2 linked regions of the Rhinolophus ferrumequinum genome follow. The protein of the gene in region 1 interacts with the protein of each later gene in a biochemical or structural test. Links are inferred from orthologs where the notes say so. Each region holds a gene or a part of one and is shown on either strand. Other genes may lie near its edges.

Region 1 (10,188 bases):
TGAGATGTCTACTTGACATCCAAGTAGAGATGCTGAATAGGCCAGCAGACATATGAGGCTGCAGCTTAAAAGAAGGCTTGGGTCAGAGACATACACCTGGGGGTGATGAGTGTATAGATAGATGGTATTTAAAGCCATGGGGCTGGATGAGTGTTTGTGGGAAGATTTTGGATGGACAAATGTTCATGGACTGAGCCCTGAGATCCAATGTTCAGAGGTTAGCGAAATAAATTTAGTAGAAGAGGATGCTGAGCAGAAGTTTTTTGTACAAATTTGAGCTTCAAAGTTTACATCAAATGGTGAAGAATCACATATTTTATACCATATCAAGGGTCCGACTCCTTCCAAGCCCGTCTTTTAAGGGATTCTAGCCCTTTTTTTCTTTCTGAATATTTCAAAACACATTTAAACAGATCAGTACTTTGTTTTCTTTTATGTTACCTAGTGGTTTCAAGCACTACACAAGTAGCACTCAGCAATGTCTTTTCCATAAAGTTAATAATCCAATAGCTATCTCATGCCTAAAAGGCTAAGGGTGACTTTAGGCCAGAAGCTTTATTTGTGGCATCTTTTATTCTTTTAGGCTGTTCACTTCCCTGTTGCACAGTAACTTACTCCAGCTTCTTACTGAGCTCACCAAATGCCTAAAATGTATCCAGACATCTGACAATCCACACCCCTCCCTCAGTGCAGCCTCTCTTCGTAGCCACAAGAAGCATAGCATCTTTACATTTCCACTTCAAACTTCAGAAGTTTCCATCCAGAGCCTCATGCCTTAAAGGGAGAGAGAGAGGAAGCACTTCCAACTAGATCAAAGTTGTCATCAGTAATGCAATCTGAAAGCAAAACTCAGTGGAAGGAAAACAGTGAGAACTAGGCCCAGGGCAGCCTAACACTGTAGGGTGACAGACAGGGGACACTTAGTTTCAGTTCCAGGAGAGCCCAAAAAAGTGCCAGTTCCTAGAACAGTAATGTCATTCATTAATTCATTGAACAAACGTTGGTAAGTACCTATGTCCCAGGCCCTGTTATAGGTGCTGGGGTCCACTAGTGAATAAAACAGACAGAAAGCCCTGCCCACGTGGAACTTACATTGTGGAGGGGGGAGAGAGACAGACAATAAGAAAGAAAAATGAATAAAATATGCAATATGTTACATTAGAGTAATAAGGTAGGGAAGGGGCACATAGAATATTCCGGGAAGGGTTTCAAGTTTAAACAAGATGATTAGGGAAGGCCTCACTGAGGTGACATTTAAACACAAACTCCTAGTTGTCAGATTTCAAGCGCCTCAAAAAAGGTATCTTTTGTACTTCAATCCCACCATCACCAGACCTCAGGCCCTTGAAGGCATGGGACCCCCGGTTCTTAGCACAAATGTTTGTTGATTTTTCACGCTTAAGACAAAGGGAGCTCCAAGATCCAGACCTTGACCTTAAAGTGGTTAACCTTCCAGGTGGAAAAACAACTAAGAGAGGTGTTAAGGGCTTTCCTGAGGTATAAACAAAGAGCTTTTGGACACAGGATAACTGGTAATTCTGCATAGGGGAAGGAATTGTATTCAGAAAGGCTGTCCCAAAGGAGGTGACTTTAGAGTAAATTTTGAGATAAATAGGAATTAATGGCAGGGAGTGGGTATGGGTGGCAAGTTATCTTTTCAGGGGGAAAAAAAGAGCAGTTTGAGCAAAGGCCCAGTGATCGGATCAGGGAAGACATTTTTCTCCTGGACTGTCCCTGCCTCAGATATGCCATCCATCCCAGGATAAAATAAGCAAACACTTCCCCTCAGGCTCTCTGGCTTGACTGTTGGGAAATCCTTATCGCATACCACATCCTCATTTCTCCCCTAGCAAGCAGGAAAGGAAGAAGTTGAGTCAGTCACACATCCCTAGAATCCAGTTACCCTCTCTTAACTTCAGGACAATGACTACTGAGCTAAGAGCCCTGGAAGTTTCATTCAGACAGGTACACTCAGGGGTGTGTACCTAGAGTGGCAATGTGGCAACTGGCCCCCTGCTGGAAGTGAAGTGGTGAAGTGGGCAAGATACCAGTGAGGTAAATGGTCCAAAGTCTCCTCAGTGCATCCAGGGTAGAGTCAAGGACCAAAACTTATACTTTGGCGTGGAAGGGAAATTTTTAATCACTTAGTCCTCACTCGTGAGCTATTTAGTGTTCCTAACATCCAAGGCAGCAGAGACGGTATGACAGGGGATAGGAACAGAGCTGTGCATTAAGATGACCCAGCTCTGTCCCTCATCTGTTGGGTGATTTGGAGCAAGGCACTTAACCTCTCAGTCTCCTTTTCATCATAACACAATTATAATTGTAGCGCCTACTTCATAGAGTTATCATGAGGATTATATGAGATAATTATGTCAAGAACTTATCACAGCGCCTGGCTCAGTGGATTCTAACAACCATTATTAATAGCAGCCTTTAAGGGGAAAACTCAGAGAGTATCAACCAGAATGCTACATACACTCACAGACCAGTCATCCCTGAACAGGCCTCCATTTCACTGTTCAGACTTAGAGTGAGGCCCCTGAAATTGTGTTACCAGAAATGTTTGCCTCCTGCCAGGATAAGTCTCACAAGCCAAGTTGGTGGTCCCTTTCTACTAGGATTTCCAGCAGGTGCTAAAAACAAAAAACAAAAACAAACCAAAAAAAAAAAAACACAACAAAAAACTTTCTCAGAGTCTCAACTCTTTGCATTAGACATTATTCTCTCCACAAACCAGTGGGTAAACACATTAGGTCATTAATACCTTAATATTAATGGATTTATGAGGGGTGGTGTCCGGGAGCTGAAAAAGCAGAAAAGCCAGTTTAAAATAGGAGGTCCAGGATGTACTGAAGACTAATGTCTGCCACAGATGTTCAAGCTCTAGGGTCAACCCTGCCAAAAGCTGTATTCTGGAGCGCTAGGTCCTCTGGTCCTGAAGAAGTAGGGTACTGGGGGAGGAAAAGGTTAGTTAATGAGAAACAGATCAGTTGTTCAAGCCACCAGAATTCTAACCAAATGATTTCACCACCAAAACTAACCATTTCATTCAACGTTAAGGGCTGGAGACGTTCATAAGCCCCTTTATAAACCAAAACAGAAGATAGAAGTGTTCTGGGCCCCTTCTGAGGGCTCTGAGGACTCTCCTCCAGGAGCAAAGCCTGCTTGAAAAGTGGCAAGATAAAGCAGTTCAACTCTGGAGCACACAGCCGGGTCCCCCGCCCCAAGTGCAGAAGAAGCCCACCGAGGCAGGACTAGGGCCAACCAGCCAGCCAGCAGCCTTTTTACCTGTGGCGGGCCGCCTGAGGTCCGTAAGGAGTACGGGGACAATACCACGCGCAATGGCCGGGCACTGCCAGAGGAACCGGCGAAAAGGTGACTCGACGCCTCGGAGGGCGCAGTTCCCGCTAGGAGCTCCGGCCCCACCCCTGCCCCCCGGGCCGGCTCTCCGGAATTGCCTCAGCTCCGGCAGGCGGGAAAAGCCGGCCACGCCGCTCGAGGCGTGACAGGGAACACAGAGAGGCACAGCCTTCGTTAGCGATCAGTGGGCCTGGGAAGGCGCTCGGGAGAAAGCAAACTGGCGGGGAGGGACTGTCCCCGGGGAGTCAAGCAGACTGGAGTCGAGGCGTGGGCAGGAGGGCTATCCAGGGAGGCAGAAAGGGGACAGGAAAGAGTGGGAGGGCGGAAGGGGTTAGGGAAGGACGCAGGGCCCTGAGATGGGGGTGGGGGCGCTTAGGCAGAGACAAGGGGCTGGGGGCCAGGCAGGAGTCCCCGACCGACGGCGAAGGGGCGGCCTCTGGCCGCGAACCTACCTGTCAGGTGCAACAGGTGCCACGAGAGAGGCTAGAAGTCCCAGCACCGGATTCAGGGCAGGGTCTATGGCTCTGGGAAGACCGCAACCCCACTCCGGCAGTGGCCGGTCCTTCTCACCCTCCCGGGAGGCGGAAAAAGCTGCAACTTTCCCTGGAGCGGGGAGGAGCTGGACTCTTAAAGGGGCCGCACAGCGCTCCAGGCTCCTGAGTAGGGGACGGTGCCACTACAAGAGGAGCTCTGGGAACCAAAGCCTTAAGGCACTGGAGGGATGCCCTCCAGGATTATGAAAGGGAGCTTGAGGATTAAGGATAAGGGTCTAAGACTAGACCTGACCCCCTTTTTATTTCCATCTGTGGTCACTCTCTCAGATGATAAATCACAAACCTCTTCACTCAGCTGAGCCAAAAGTTGTCAAACGGTCGTGTACTTTTAGGGAGAAGAAGACTGTAGACCATATACTTTGGTAAGATAAAACATGATACCATTCTGATTCTTCGACTTTCAGCCTTTTGTGGCAAAGAAAAGTGTCTAAAATAGAAACGTTTTGGGCAAATAGCATAAGACTAAATTCACACACATGGACACAAGTGGGTAAAACATTCAACTCACTATTTAATCAAAGAGTAAATTAGAACAATAATGAGGTTCCTTGGCAAAGTTTTTTGTTTGTTTGTTTTTATAACAATGATGACAAAGTGGCCACCAGATAAGTTATCTTATAATTGCTGGAAGGAGTGTATTTTGGTTAAAAATCCTTTGACAAAGCATGTGAGTAATATATATCAATTAGACTCTAAAATGTTTATATCTACCCAGTAATTGTAAGTTCCTCTCCCATTCTCTTCCTCCCTCTCTCTCTCTCCCTCTCTTCTTTTCATCACCCATTAACAATGCTCAAGTCCCTCTCACCTGTCATCAGCAAATAAACATGCTCAAGTCTCCGCCATCTTAAAAAAAAAAATCCTCTTTACACACCAAATACCTCTCCAGCTCCTCTTTATGAACAAATTTATTCCAAATATACTTTAGAGGTACATTTGTAATCTCCACTCCCTTAATTTTCACTCAACAATTTGACTTTCTTCCTCAACACTCCACTGAGACTGTGCTCAACAAGATACCCAGCTAATGACCTCCGTGTCAATAAATAAATAAATAAACAAACAAACAAACAAATAAGACATTTTTAGTCCTTATCTTGCTTGACCTCTTCTCTACATTTAATGCTGTTAACCATTTCCTCCTCCTTGAAAGTCTTCCTGTGGCATCTATGACACCATACTCTTCTGCTTTTCCTCCTACCCTTTTGCCCTCTCCTCAGTTCCTTTGTACATTCCACTCTGCTATCTAACTTCTGAAAGACAGACATTCTCAGGGCTAGGCTACATATACTCTCTTCCTAAGTGATCTCTTTCACTCACTTGGCTTTAATTATCATCTGTATGGCCACACCTGTAATTTTATAGCTTATCCAGATATCTCCACTGAGCTCTGCTCTCTTGACATCTCCACTTGGATGTCTTGCAGGCCCTTCAAACTCAACACATCTGAAGCTGAACCCACCATCTTTTCTCTTAAATTTGCTCCTTCTCCATTGTTTCCTGTATCAGTATAAAAAACCCAAGGCAGAAAGTGGGCACCTAGAGTATCATGTTTCCCTGAAAATAAGACCTAACTGGAAAATAAGCCCTAGCACGATTTTTCAGGATGTTCATAATATAATATAAGCCTTACCATATTTCCCTGAAAATAAGACCGGGTCTTATATTAATTTTTCCTCCAAAAGACTCATTAGGGCTTATTTTATATTACGAGCATCCATAAAAATCATGCTAGGGCTTATTTTCAGATTAGGTCTTATTTTTCAGGGAAACATGGTAGTACCTGGCACATAGTAGGCCCTCGCTAATATTTGTATAATAAATGAATGAATGAATGTGTCCTAAAGAAACACAAACTTTTTGTACAATGATGTTAACTGCAGTATTACTTAGAATAATCAAATACTAGGGGCAAAACCTAATGGTTCAATGGTTAAGTAAATTAGAGTTATACGATGGAATATTATATAGCCAGTAAAATTGACAAGTAGTCTTCCCTTATCCATGGGGGATACATTCCAAGACCCCCAGTGGATACCTGAAAACACACTGAACACTATACATACTATGCTTTTTCCCTTTACATACAAGCCTTTTCACTTAAAGGAAGCACTTTATGGCTTTTCTTTGGTATATTTGAATTGTCAGCATCACTACACTTGCACTTTGGGGCCATTATTAAGTATAATGTGTTATTTGAACACTGCACTGCAATACTGTGACAGTTGATATGATAACCTAGACAGCCAAAAATTAATAATGAGCAGGTATCATATACAATGTGGATACACTGATCAAAAGGGATGATTCCCATCCCCGGTGGGATGGAGCAGAACGGCACGAGATTTTATCACACTACTCAGAATGGTACAAACTTTAAAACTTACGAATTGTCTATTTCTGGTATTTTCCATTTAAAATTTTCAGATCACAGTTGACCATGAGTAACTGAAACCGTGGAAAGCAAAACCACGTAGCAGGGGACTACTGTAGCAGGTAGCAGGGGACTACTGTATTTACACGTAGCTCATAATGACAAGAAATACGTATGTGTAATATTAACTGAAAGTAGGATACAGTATTTAATATACATATGATCACAACAATTAATGGAAATCGGAGGATATGCATGAACAAAAGGCTAGAAAGAAATATGCAAACTATCAATAGTGGCTGTCTCTAGGTGGTATAACTAAATGAACTTTTCATTTTCATCCTAATTTTCTGTATTTTTCAACTTTCTTATAATAGTGGGTATAGCTTTGATAATATAAAACATCTTTTTTGAAAATCTTTAATAGGGAAGGAAAAAATCATTTTAATTCTAGCAGACAAAACAGTAAAATTCAGCTCCCAGGCTCTACCCAGAGTTTTCTGCCATTCTGGAATCCTTAAATACACCACCCACAGCCTTAAGTGCAAAGAAGACTCTTCAAAAAGGAAACCCTTTTGTTCTGTCTAGCGTTGCTAACTCCATCCTCAGGGCCTCTCTGCCTCAGCTCTGGGCTTTGAATGTGTTCATCTCCCTAACCTGGCCTGTGGGAACTCAGAACAAGCACTTCTCTGCTTCTTCTTTGCAGGTGGTGCTTGGCAGGAGCTGGAAATACCCTCAGCTAGAAGGGACTTCAGAAAACATATAGTCCAATCTTCTTATTCCACAGCAAAATTTCCAGATATTATTTTAAGTTTTTCCTTCTTTATGCATGTGTGGTTTCTCACTCTCCAAGGTCCACCTCATTAAAGAGGATGTGTGAGGATCTGACTCCTATCACAGTTTCACTAAACCATCTGAAAATACACAGAGACAAACATAAGCAATGAACCAAAACCAAGTTAGTCAATGGCCTGTTTACACAGATTCCATGCTTCGCAATCTGCTGTCCATTATCTGTTTGATCCTCTTTGTTTGTCGCAAGGATTCTGTGCTCAAATTCTTATGCCAAATATTGTGAGCGCTCCAATGCAAGCAAACCCAGGCACTATCCTGTGCAACAATGTAAATAGGAACTTATGGATTATTATCTTATGTATGGTATGTAAACTCCTGTCCCATAGTGAATGATCGGATATGATGAGTTGTTTCAATTTACCACATTGAAGTAGTTCTGGATAGTGCAAACTAATAAGATACTCCATTGTTTGTTTTTTTCCTCAGCCCCAGGTGATGGGATGCCTCAGCATTGAGCAATTGCTCTTTTTAAATATTTTGAAAATGCATAAATATATAGACAACAGTACGACAAAGAGAATATGCTCACAACCCAGCTTAAGAAATAAAGCATTATGCAGATTGGTGCAGCTGCTATGGAAGACAGTTTGGAGGTTCCTCAAAAAGTTAAGAATAGAATTACCATATGACCCAACAATCCCTCTCCTGGGTATATACCAAAAAATTCTGAAAACATTTATCCATAAACATATGTGTGCTCCTATGTTCAGTGCAACTTTATTCACAGTGGCCAAGACATGGAAATAACCAAAGTGCCCTTTGATAGATGAATGGATAAAGAAGATGTGATATATATATAATGGAGTACGATTCTGCCATAAGAAAATATGAAATAGTACCATTTGCGACAACATGGATGGATCTTGAGATTATTATGCTAAGTGAAATGAGACAGACAGAAAATGTCGAGAACCATATGCCTTTGCTGATGTGGGATATAAAACTGAAAGCAACAAAGGAGCAAATCAAACACATGAAGAAACAAAAACTCAGACATAGACAATAGTTTAATGGTTACCAGAGGTTAAGGGGGAGGGGGTGGTAGAAGAGGGTAAATGGAGTCAAATATATGGTGATGGAAAGAGAACTGACTCTGGGTGGTGAACACACAATGTGATATATAGATGATGTATTACAGAATTGTACACTTGAAACCTATGTAATTTTACTAACCATTGTCACCCCAATAAATTGTAATCAAAATTTATATATATATATATATATATATATATATATATATATATATATATATATATATATATATAATTTAGCAAGGGAAAAAAAGAGATTTACATTCAAACTAAAATTCCACCCATCTTCGCATCTCTTCAATAAACTTCTAAACACGCCAAAAAAAAAAAAAGACAGAAAGAAAGAAAGCATTACCACTACAATCAGAGCCCTCTGTATACACCTCCATCCCAAGGTTTTCACTATACCAGATTTGATCTTGATCATTTCCATGTGTGTCTTTATACAGTTACTACATATGTGTCTATCCCTAAACAATATGTAGTACTTTACAGAAATAGTGTCACTCTGCATGTACTATCTGCAATTTGCTTTCCTCACTCAACATTATGCTTATGAGATTTATCCCTGTTGATAGACGTAGCTCTAATTCATTCATTTTCATTGCTATAGAGCATTCCAGGCATAACTATATTGTAATTTATGTGTTCTCTTATTGATCAGGTACTCTTCTATTGCCAAAGTCTTAATTCCAGATGCCAGGACACTCCCTCTTCATTTCTTGCTAGATAATAAAAATAAAAACTTTTGCAAAAACAAACAAACGAAAAAAGAAGTCTTCTTGACCAAGCATATTTAGTTCACTAGTGGTCTACAACGAGTATGGGGTGTAAAAAGTAGATTCAGTCTCTTATTCAGTCAAGATCAGAGTTTCTCCACCTCCGCACTACTGACATTTTGGACTGAATAATGTTTTGTTGTGAGGGGCTATCCTGTGCATTGTAGGATGTAGATGCCAATCGTGACAACCCAAAATGTCTCCAGCTATTGCCAAATGTCTTCAGTTGAGAACCACTGGTTAAGGTTTACTAGGCACCCATTACACGTGAAGCACTTTAGTAGGTGCTATGGGAAGAAAGAAGATGAATAAACACTAAAAAAATAGTTCTTTCACTCACAGAGGTATGTATTGACATCTACTATGTGGAAAGTATACTGGGCTAGGCACTGGGATTTTGGTGACTGAACATTTCTTCGAGGTGTTCACAATTTATTGCATGGGGTTGGAGGGAAGCAGACAAGCCAAAAACACAAATTTGTAATACAGTGTGGAAAGTGCAAAGCTGGGAAGATGTGCAGGATATGTGGAAGCACCTAGCAAGGCCACTTTCACCAGTGTGGTCAGTGAAGGGTTCCTGGAAAAGTGGTATCTTCTCTGAATCTTAAAGGATTAGAAGGAATTAGCTAGACCAAAAAGGCATTCCAGGCAGAAGAATAGCATAAGCAAGAACAAAGAGTATAGAAACAATAGGCCTATGCAAAGGAAGGTGGTGTTGTTGGAGCATGAAGTGTAAAAAAAAAAAAAATGTGATCACAGATGAGGCTAGAAAGATGATGTATTAGTTTGCTAGGACTGCCGTAACAAAGTACCACAAACTAAGTGGCTCAAAAAACAGAAACTTATTTTCTCATACTTCTGGAGGCTAAAAGTCCAAGATCAAGGGGTCTACAGGGCTAGTTCTGAGGGATGTTAGGAAGAATCTGTTCCCCTCTCCTAGCTTCTGGTGGTCTGTTGGCAATATTTGGCATTTCATGGCTTATACAAGCATCACCCCAATCTGTGCCTTCATCTTCATAAGGAGTTCTCCCTGTCCATGTCTCCCTGTGTCCAAATTTCCCCCTTTCTTTTTGATTAGTTTCAGGTGTACAAAACAATGTAACAGTTAGACATTTACACCCCTCACAAAGTGATAACCTCCCTCCCCTAATCTACTACCCCTCTGATATCGTATATAGCTGTTACAGTTCCACTGACTCTGTTCCCTGTGCTGTCCTCCACATCCTGTGACC
Region 2 (10,309 bases), on another chromosome or scaffold:
AGATAAGCAAGATAAGTTTAAGTAACAATGGAAGGCAAAATTTAATTTTTAAAATAACATGGAAGATTAATCACCATACACTAGAAGCCAATTAATTCAATTCTGTCTGGGAAAGGGCAGCAGGAAGCTCCACTCAACCGTAGCCAATATTGCTCTATCAGCAGTAGCAGGATACGGTGGACTAAAACAGGTACTTGCAGCTGTTGGCTAAGAAAAATTAAACGTATAGAGCAGAAGTTTCCAAAGATGAAAATAAATCCACGTTTATTCATTAACTTATTGGTACACTCAGCAAGAGTTCATTGAACACTTCTTTTGTCTAAGCTACCTTGCAGTATAAGACTCAAACATCAGCTGAAGTCCTGCTTTGTCTCCAGGATATTACGATCTAGTCGTGGAAATAAGGACAAACACATAAATAGCTGACAGCCTAAAGTAGTCGTGTAATTAAATGTCAAAATGAGTCTCCAGGTTGGCAATTTCAGTTAGATGGCAGAGAAAAATGAATTTACTACAGTATAAAGTATTCATCAAGAAGGAAATTTAAAATGAAAAAAAAATGAATTTCCATTTTCTTGAATTTCAAAGGAATTTCACTCTCTCCCTAGATCCATCTAAGAAGCTAAATCACTGGAGACAGGTGCTAAATGGCCCCAACCAAGCTATCCAGGCTACAGAGAAGAGGGTTTCCCACTGCCGCTGTGGCAAGGCCAGAGCCCTCACCTTTCTACTTATTTGATCTTTCCCTTTCCAAGGAGGGTAAGGGCATTATCTTAGAGAAAATAAGAGGATAGAAAAATAGAGACTTAGATGTTAATATAATTGTAGACATTGCTTATCTTAAAGTGGGAAGGAACAGTGAGAAATAGCAAAGTGATCTCCATTTCTCAGTCTCTCGTTCCCTTTTCAATCATTCATCACATTTTTTTGAGTACTTCCTATGAGCCAGAAACCATTCTAAATGTATGCAGACCATAGTGAACAAGAAAAATTCCTGACCTTTATGGAGCTTGTATTCTACCAATGGGAAAGAAATACTGTGTGTGTGTGTGTGTGTGTGTGTGTGTGAGAGAGAGAGAGAGAGAGAGAGAGAGAAAGAGAGAGAGAGAGAGGACAGTTAGTATTAAAGATACCCTAAAGAAAAATAAGGCAAGGTAAGGGAGCAGAAAATGATGGAGGGGTGAGAGATGCTACTTTAGATGGGATGGTTCAAGAAGGCCTCTCTACAGAAATGGATTTGACCTGAATGAAACGAGTAAGAAAGCCATGCAGACATCTGTAGGAAGCACATTCCAGGCAGAGGAAACAGCAAGTGCAAAGGTCCTGAGTTGTGGCTGTCTGAAGCACAGTAGGTAAAGGAGAGCGTAATAGAAAATGAAGTTACATACCATGTAATGGGTTTGTAGCCCATGATGAGACTTTGTTTTTCTCCTGAGATAAAAAGCCATCGGAGAGTTTTGAGCAGAGTAATTAATGACTCTGGCTGCGGTGGTGAGAACAGACTGTAGAATGGTAAGGACGGAAGCAGAGTGGCCTTGTAGGGGGCCTTTGCAGTAATCCAGGTGACAGAAATGATAGGAACTTGGTAGTAGCAGTGGAACTGGTGAGAAACGGTTATTATAGTAGATATACTCTCAAAGTAGAACCAGTGAGATTTGCTGAGGGACTAGATGTGGGAACAAGAGAAAGAAGAGAAGCAGGGGTGACTCCAGGGTGTTTAGCCTGGAAGAATGGCGTTGCCATTATAACCGATAATGGGAAGACTAAGAAAAATGTAGGTTTAGGAGGAAAAAAATCAAGAGTCTGATTCCTAGAAATTGTTTCCCACTCTAGAACACTTACACATGTTCTAAAACCAAGGCAACAGAAATTGAGAAGAAACTGAGAAATTGAGAATCCTAAATTTCATATGGAAATTCAAGGGATCCAGAATAGCCAGAACAATCTTGAAAAAGAAGAACAAAGTAGGAGGACTCACACTTCTTGATTTTAAAACGTAATGCTACAGTAATTAAGATAGTATGGTGCTAACATAAGGATAGACATAGATCAATGGAGTAGAATTGAAAGTCCAGAAGTATACCCTTGCACTTACATTCAAATGATTCTCAACACAAGTGCCAAGATCATGCAAAGGAAAATAGACTTTTCGACAAGTAGTGCTGGGAGAACTGGATATCCACATGCAAAAAAATGAAGTTGGACCCCCCTACCTCATACCATATACAAAAATTAACTTAAAATGAATTAAAGATTGAAATGTAAAAGCTAAAACTATAAAACTCTTAGAAGAAAACATAGATATAAATCTTTATGACTTTGAATTTGGCAATGCTTTCTTAGATTTGACACCAGAAGCACAAGCAACAAAAGAAAAAATAAATAATTATACATCACTAAAATTAAATATCAAAGCAGGCCATGGAAATTAAGGAAGGGAAGGAAGGAAGGGAGGAAGGAAGAAAAGAAGGAAGGAAGGAAATGAAAAGCAACATAAAATACAGAAAAAAATGGTCCTCAGTCAAGTTCTTTCAGCATTATATCAACCTTCCTTCATTTCCAACTCTCTGCAGAAAACCCTGTTTTCCAGACTGTGTTTTCCCCCAAAGCAAATTTTAAAAAAGGGGGGGGGTGGAAGGGGAGGTGGATAGGAACAGTGAAGGACCAACAAGTTAAATCAGTGATAATTACAGAAAACTTATACGGCCCTGCCAACATCTGAATGATGAGCCAACCATAAAGTGAGAATCCATTCAGTAGGAAAAAACAGCTGTTAGCCCACAGTGGGAAGGAGGAGAACCCTGTGGCAGAAGATTCGGAGGCCGTGTGGCCAGAAGGAACCACGGGCTGGGAAGGCAAGAGTCAAGGGCTCACAGATTCCCTTCACTTCTGCCTGACCTTGCTTAATTGGTGATCTATTGAGACACAGAGACAAGCCTTTGGCAATAGCTGCGGAAACCTGTCATCACATCAGCAGTACCACCAGTGCCAGAGGGCCTGGCTGCCAGGTAAGGCTTTCGGTCTGACCGTCAGAAGAAAGGGGAACCCTCTCGCTTCCAGCCAGTTTGCAATCCAGACCCTGACCATCAAAGGTGTAAAGACATTCAAGAATTCAACTGAAAACGACAAGAGGGAGGAAAGAACTACAGGGCAGCGCTGGAGGCATGGGACCTTCCTCCTCTCCTGCTAGTGAAGTTTCCTCCCCCACTGACGGGGACTCTCGCCTGGATGCCACGCAGAGGTGACCTCAGACCCCGTCCCCACCTGGGACTACACCTCATCAGCACCTCGCCCAAGCTGAACCCCATCCCCGGACATTGTCGTTGTCGGGTCTGTGCTGTGCGATGGCCACTCGGGGCCTGAGAGAAGCAACGCAACTTTTCTGGCCGGCTCAGCCTCCCAGAGGTGGGCAGAGGAGCCGCAGCCCCGAGTTCAGCCCCAGGGCCGGATTTGCGGCTCGCAAGCTACCCTGCTCAGCCCTCCCGCCTGAAGCGTAACCTGGAGGGCGCAGCCCGCAGCCGCCCGCCTCACCTGGCTGGGCCCGCTGTCCCCGCCGTCCCCACGCCGTTCTGCCTCTGCGCGCGCCGCTGCCACCCGCTACTGGCCTTTTTTGGGTCCTTGGCGGGTATTTTCCGTCTGGCCCCACATCACTTCCCGTAAAGGAGAGCGAGGTGGGGGCGGGACCTCCTCTCCACCCTCCACCTCCCGCTTCCTCCTGTCACCTCCAGGAGCACCCCCGCCCGAGTCGGTGCGGGCACCTCCTTGCGCGCGGATCCCGGTACCGCAGCACCTGCTGACGGGTCCTCGGAGCCCCGGAAAGGTCCCGCTCGCCTACTTTGGCCCAAGCCAGGTCTCCACTGCACTTTCCTGGAAGACGCAAAACCTTAGGGGGTTGTTTTCGTTTTGAGACACGGGGATGACATTTACAAACTACTTCAGGCTCGACGTACGGTTTGGTGACTTTCGCCAAATCTCCTTCTCCAAAAGCTATTTTCTAAAGGTGTTTTCCAGGGTATGATCGGTGTCTCCACCTTGTAGCCAGAGGTGCTGAGTAGCTGCAAAGTTGTTCCGGGGGTTCCTGAGGCCCGGGGGGCGGGGGTCGGGGGGTGTTCCTCGGGGGCCCGGCTCAGCCCCGCGTGTCCCGCTCTGCGGTTGTCCATCCCGCCCCGACTTCTCCTCACTCAGGTCGGCCTGGACTTGGCCTTCCTGGGACGAGGGAAAGTTCTGACATTCTTGGAAATGGCAGGGGAGAAATAAATAATTTCTGGAAAGAAATGACTAACGGGGTCTCTGGTCGTACAGTCTTATTAGGATTAAAAAATCACGCAAAATTAAATTTCTAAGAGAGCAATTGATTTTTAAAACAAAAGCAAAGTACAGTAAGGCGACATCTGCGAGCCTTTGCTGCCACCCAGTGGCTTCCTTGTCTCAGCACCCGCGGGTTTGTGTGTGGGTCGGCTTGTGAAGCAGGTTCGGGCCACCAGGTTCCCACTCAGAGGCAGCGAAATTTCTCCTCCAATGGTGTGGAGTCTGAACAGTGGTCTTGGACCTGCCTCTGGGGGATGTCAGGCAAAGCACTTCTGAACCAAATAAGTTCACTTCTAAACAGAGCAAAATGATTGGTATCTCTAGACCAGCTTCTCTTATCATCTGGTCCATCTCACTGAAATGCCTCTACTTGCACCCCAAATTCCAGCTCTCCCAGGCCGACCTGCCCACCCCATCATCCTTCCAGTCTGTAACCACTCACAGTTGGCATTACAGTACAATTAGCTTCTCAGATATGTGTCTAATTTATAGAACAACAATATGAAATTGCCAAATATTGAATATACATTCAATCTAATATTTCCATGCAAATACACAACAGTGATCTCAGAGTTAGGGATAACAGATTTCACCATAGGGTGATGATTTTGAGGGATGTTCCCCAGGTGAGTGAAGGACCCCCAGATTGTTGATGATGGAGGTTAAAACAGGAGAAGTAGCCCTGTGTTCATGTATAGAGAAACAGTCGTAAGATATACCAACTGCTAATGACTGATGCCACCATACTGGGAGAGGGCCCACAGCCCTCCCCACCGCTGCATGCCGTCAGGGCTGTCACCAGGAGTTTGCTGGGCAGGAGATCAGAAAACAGACAGTGGTGCTGTGGCCCATTCAATGAGTCAAGCACTGTTAGGTACTGCAGATGTGACAATGGACAAAGTAAACTGGTTTCTGATCTCAGGGAGTTTGAAAGAGAACAAATAAGCAGTTAACTTCAGGGCAATGAGATAAAATCCCCGATAAGGGAAGTTAAAGGGTGTCAATGGAACACACAGAGCAATGGTACCAAATCAAGACTTCCCAGAGAAAATGATGTACGAAGCAAGAAGGATAAAGAAGGTGGGAACGTGAGAGAGAAGGGAATCTAGTAAAAAAAGAGCAGAGGAAGGGCCTGGAGGCAAAAGAGATATTGGAGCAACTGAAAGAAGTTCAGCAAAGCTGAAAAACTGAGAAGGAAGCAATCAGAAAAATAAAGAAAACTGGAGAAGTAAGCAGAGGCTGGATTATGAAGAACCTAGAATGATTATAATGAAAATAGCTAACATTTATTGACCATTTACTATGAATCACACTATATGCTGAGAATTTTACATGTATTACCTCATCTACTTCTCACAATTGCCTTATGAAATAAGTACTATTCTTATCCCCATATTACAGATGAGAGAACTGAGCCTTAAAGTGATTAAGCAACCTGACCAAGATCACAGCTAATAATTACCACAGCAAGGACTAGAACTTAGAACCCATTTTCTTAATGGCTATAAAGCTAAGAATGGATTTGAGAGGTCAACTCAAATATCCAGAATAGGTAAATCCATAGAGACAGAAAGTAAACTCATTGCTAGGCACTGGGGAACATGGAGTCGCTGCTTACTGCACATAAGAGTTTTCTTTTGGGTGATAAAAATGTCAATGGAACTCGATAAAGGTAATAGTTTCACGACATTGTGAATGTAATAAATGCCACGGAATTGTACAATTTAAAATGGTTAAGTGTTTTTTTTTGTTTGTTTGTTTTTTAAGGAGGCCGCAGCTCACAGTGGCCCATACAGGGATTGAACCAGCAACCTTGGTGTTATTAGCACCACGCTGTAACCAACTGAGCTAACAAGCCACCAATGGTTAATTCTTTTGTTATGTGAATTTTGTTTCTATTTTTTAAAAATAACTAATACTCCTTGATTCATAGGTTGGTCTAGGAGAGAGAAAAGGATGAGCTGGAAAGTAAGTGTGTTCAAAGAATGACATGTATTTGTTGAAAGGACATAGGAACCATCCTAGGGGAGGACGGTTCCTCAGCTAAAGACTTGCTTATTTTAATTAGGACTGAAGATATTCTTCTTAAGCTACATTGTTAACAAAACTATTTTTCAAAAATGCCCACTGTGGTGGACATTGTGAATGTCAAAGTATATTATTCCTCGTTGTAAGCTTTTTTAAGAAGTCTTGTTTTATACTTGTTAAACTGAACACGATTTTCAGATAATATTTAAACATTACTTTTTGTATCTGAAATAAATATTTAAAAAAAGAAAAAAGAACACAGTAGCCAGCTGGGGCTGCCACTAGCCAAATCTGGGACAATTTAAACATCAAAATAAATTGTGATAGTCAGGGCTGACTTCATGGTCATGCAATCTGTATGTTACACAGGGCCCTGCAATCAGAATTTTAATGCTCTGCAGCTACAGTTATGAAAGTCTTAATTTTACTTTTTTTTTTGTAACCAAAACTTTAATCCCAAGGATTCTCACAAAACATATTACAAATGACAGCATGAAAAAAAATTTTGCACAGTAACTCAAAGTTCAGCTCTACAATGTACCCTTAAACTGGCATGACACTGGTATCTTGGATAGTCTCAAATTTCCAAATGAAGAATGTTACAAAGAGCTATGTATTCATATACTGCAATCACAGAAGAAACTTATGACCTAAAGGCAAGGTAAACTAACTTTCTTGAAACTTCTTTGATTCTACACCAACTGGACAACCTCTGCCCAGTGTGAAGACTAGTTGGACTTTTTTTTTAACCTCTAAATCTAGTTGTAATGACGCAGCTTTAATTTTTACCTGGCTTGTGCTCACAGCAGCTTTTGAAGACTGTATGTTCAACTGCAGCTGCATATTATATCCCAGCTCTGGAAGATCTTAGGTTCAATTTTTGCCAGTTTCCGTAATATTAAACATCACACTTTAGATGGGCAGGAGAGGTTTATTATCTATCAGTCTCTGCAAGACTAAAAAGTTAAAAGCAAATTCGATTTTGCTTAAGGGAACATTGTAAAGTAACAATTCTTGATATTACATGCCTCATATGATTCATTTCAAACCATAGAGAATTACATTTTTATGTGTCACTGTTCCAAGATAAACAAATGTGAACAGCTAAAACATCTTAAAAATGCACCAAGCTTATGAAGTCTCAAACAAAACTTGAATTTTCTGTACATACTCCTGTCAAATGAAGTCATTTCCTGTACACCACTCCTCTTGCAAACTGGTCTTCTGTTTCCTCTCATTTGACCTAGATCGGCTAGGAGACCTAGAGAAGGATCGGGACGGCTTGTGATTTCTCTCCCGAGACAGTGATCTCTCTCTTCTCCTATCTCTAGAAAGGGACCTGCTCCGACTGCGGGAGAAGCTTCTCCGTCTTGGAGATCTGCGGCGAGGTGGAGGACTCCTTCTCCGATAATCATCTCGAGGGCGACGACCCCACGAGGGAGGTGGACCACGATTTCGACTTCTCTTTTCACCATTCGACAGTTCCACTCTTACTCGGCAGCCACATAATGGTCTCCCATCTAGCTCTCGGACAGCATCGGCTGCATCTCGGGGATCTTCAAATTCAACAAAAGCAAAGCCGGGAGGGTTTCTAGCAACCCACACACTTCAGAGTGGTCCATAATAGCCAAAAGCTCGTTCCAATTCAGTCTTGTTACCGTTGTTTCCAAGATTACCTACATAAACTTTACAATCCAATGGACAGGAATCACGATGCATTTCGAAATCTTGGGTTAGAAATACGGAGGCTCAAATCCACACACCCACGGACGGCTCTTCCGTTCCCCTCCGCCCAGCTTCACAAGCACTCTCACAGATCCGGCGTCCACGAAATGGCCTTAATTTTACTTTTAAATTTGTGTTTTGTAAGTGAAATCTGATGGCACAGTGGAGCTCGCTGGGGGTTTGGAGCCCCTGCTCACACCTGACTGACTCCCGCCGTTGCCCACTCCTCACCCCTGGTCCCTTGGGCCTTGCAGTCACTGCCTTGCTCCAAAGCACTGACCAGGTCACCGTGGCTGCGGGAGGCCCACATTCCACCATCACCTTCCACCCAGGCAGGAGCCTGGGCAGGAGGGCTCAGGGCTGGGCCTATGTCCCACGGCACCACGGGTGGGCAGGAAGACAGGTCTGCCCTAGTCTGGCATGCTCCATGTGCTACTCATCAGGGACCTCCTTCCACCACCACCCAGGAATCAAGAATGTACTGGATGGAGGTTGCACTCTCTCGGGGGTGCCCATTTGCCATGGGTTGGAGCGGTGGGCCCATGATGAGACTAACTTCCTTGCCCCCACACAGGGTCCTGCATTTTGATTTTGCCCTGGGCCCCACAAATCATGTGGTCATCCCTGGTGATAGTAATAGATTGTAACATTTGGAATAAAATAGGAATTTGTAACTCATACTGACAAATAATTTCTGCAATAGGAACCTGAATCTATCTAATCATGAGAAAGCATTATACAAACCCAAATTAAGGAGCATTTTTATAAAACAATAGACCAGTATTCTTAAAAAATGTCAACGTTGTTTTTTCCACCATCTTGGGGCCATATGGAGCTTAGTGGAACTCTTGCTGGTGAACTTTGGGGGCCTGCTGGGAACAGGACTTCTAAAATGACAAATGTGTCTGGAAGGCTGTGGTCCAAAGCCATTTTTGCTGGTTATAAGCGGGTCTCCGGAACCAGAGAGAGCACACATCTCTTCTTAAAACTGAAGGTGTTTATGCTCGAGATGAAACTGAATTCTATCTAGGCAAGAGATGTGCTTATGTGTACAAGGCAAAGAACAACACCGTGACTCCTGGTGGCAAACCAAACAAAACCAGAGTAATCTGGGGAAAGGGAACTTGCGCTCATGGAAACAGTGGCATGGTTCATGCCAAATTCCAAAGCAACCTTCCTGATAAGCCCATAGGACACAGCATCCGTGTAATGCTGTACCCCTCCAGGATTTAAACTTACTGAAAAGTAAATAAAGTGGATTTGTTCTCATTAAAAAAAAAAAAAAGTCAAGGTCATGAAAGGCAATGACTGAGGAACTGCTCCAGCATAAATGAAACCAGAGACATGACAACTAAATTCAAGTATGATCTTGGATTAGTTTTCAGACCAGAAAAGAAACTGTCTTTTGCTCTAAAGCATATTTAATGGGACTTGTTAGAATTTGGATAAAATCTAAGATTAGATAATAATATCAATCTTAACTTTCTGATCTTGATCATCATAATGTAATTATGAAAGAATATCCTTGTTTTGGGGACTTTCACACTGAACTATTTAGGGGTAAAGGGCATCATGTGGGCAACTTATTCTCAATGGGTTTAGAAAAATAATGCGTGTGTCTGTGTATATACAGACCATGGAAAGAGGAAAGAGATTAAAGCAAATGTGGTAAAATGTTAACATTTGTAGAATCTGGATAGCAGGTACATGAAAAAAATTTAAATTATTTTTGCACTTTTTCTCTGTTCAAAATTAATTCAAGATAATATTTTTAACAAACATTTAAAAGTTTCTTCAAAAAATGCCACAGGATCAAATCTAGTGGCCCACTTGAAAATCTATCATTGTCTTAGCTTTCCCTCTCTTTTACTCCCCGTCCTGCCTTCCTGATCTTGGGGCTGGAATGGATTTGTAACTGGAGAAATTTGTAATTTGAGACGGGAGAAACCACCCCCTGACCATTACCTGGAAAGCCCTGATAATATTCCTTTAACTGAGGCACTGGTGAGGATAAATGCACCGGTGAGGCCACAGACACCTTCGAAAAGCTCTATGGTGGTTGTCCTTTATAGGCTGAAATTGACAGAAGATGCTACTGCAACAGGGCTCCTAGAATTAATTAGAAATAAAAGAATTCCTGAATGGCCAAGGACAAGTGGCAGGATAGAACTATTATAATGGGAAGCAAAAGTGGAGTATAACCAGGGTGTCTGGACCCATAGGGATCTGTGGTGATGGCTAATAGATT

The links.
Region 2: the proteins of SYTL4 (region 1) and RAB27A form a complex in vitro, tested with the Homo sapiens proteins (2 studies listed by BioGRID). The link is inferred for Rhinolophus ferrumequinum from reciprocal best matches to the Homo sapiens genes SYTL4 and RAB27A.

What each region holds. Positions count from the first base shown.
Region 1 is NC_046284.1:53,720,237-53,730,424, reverse strand, and holds the start of SYTL4 (synaptotagmin-like protein 4), read right to left. Parts: upstream 3,939-10,188; 5' UTR 3,816-3,938; intron 3,451-3,815; exon of another isoform or gene 3,292-3,450; intron 1-3,291. UniProt on the Homo sapiens protein: Modulates exocytosis of dense-core granules and secretion of hormones in the pancreas and the pituitary. Interacts with vesicles containing negatively charged phospholipids in a Ca(2+)-independent manner.
Region 2 is NC_046289.1:53,407,838-53,418,146, reverse strand, and holds the start of RAB27A (ras-related protein Rab-27A), read right to left. Parts: upstream 3,930-10,309; 5' UTR 3,532-3,929; intron 1-3,531. UniProt on the Homo sapiens protein: Small GTPase which cycles between active GTP-bound and inactive GDP-bound states. In its active state, binds to a variety of effector proteins to regulate homeostasis of late endocytic pathway, including endosomal positioning, maturation and secretion.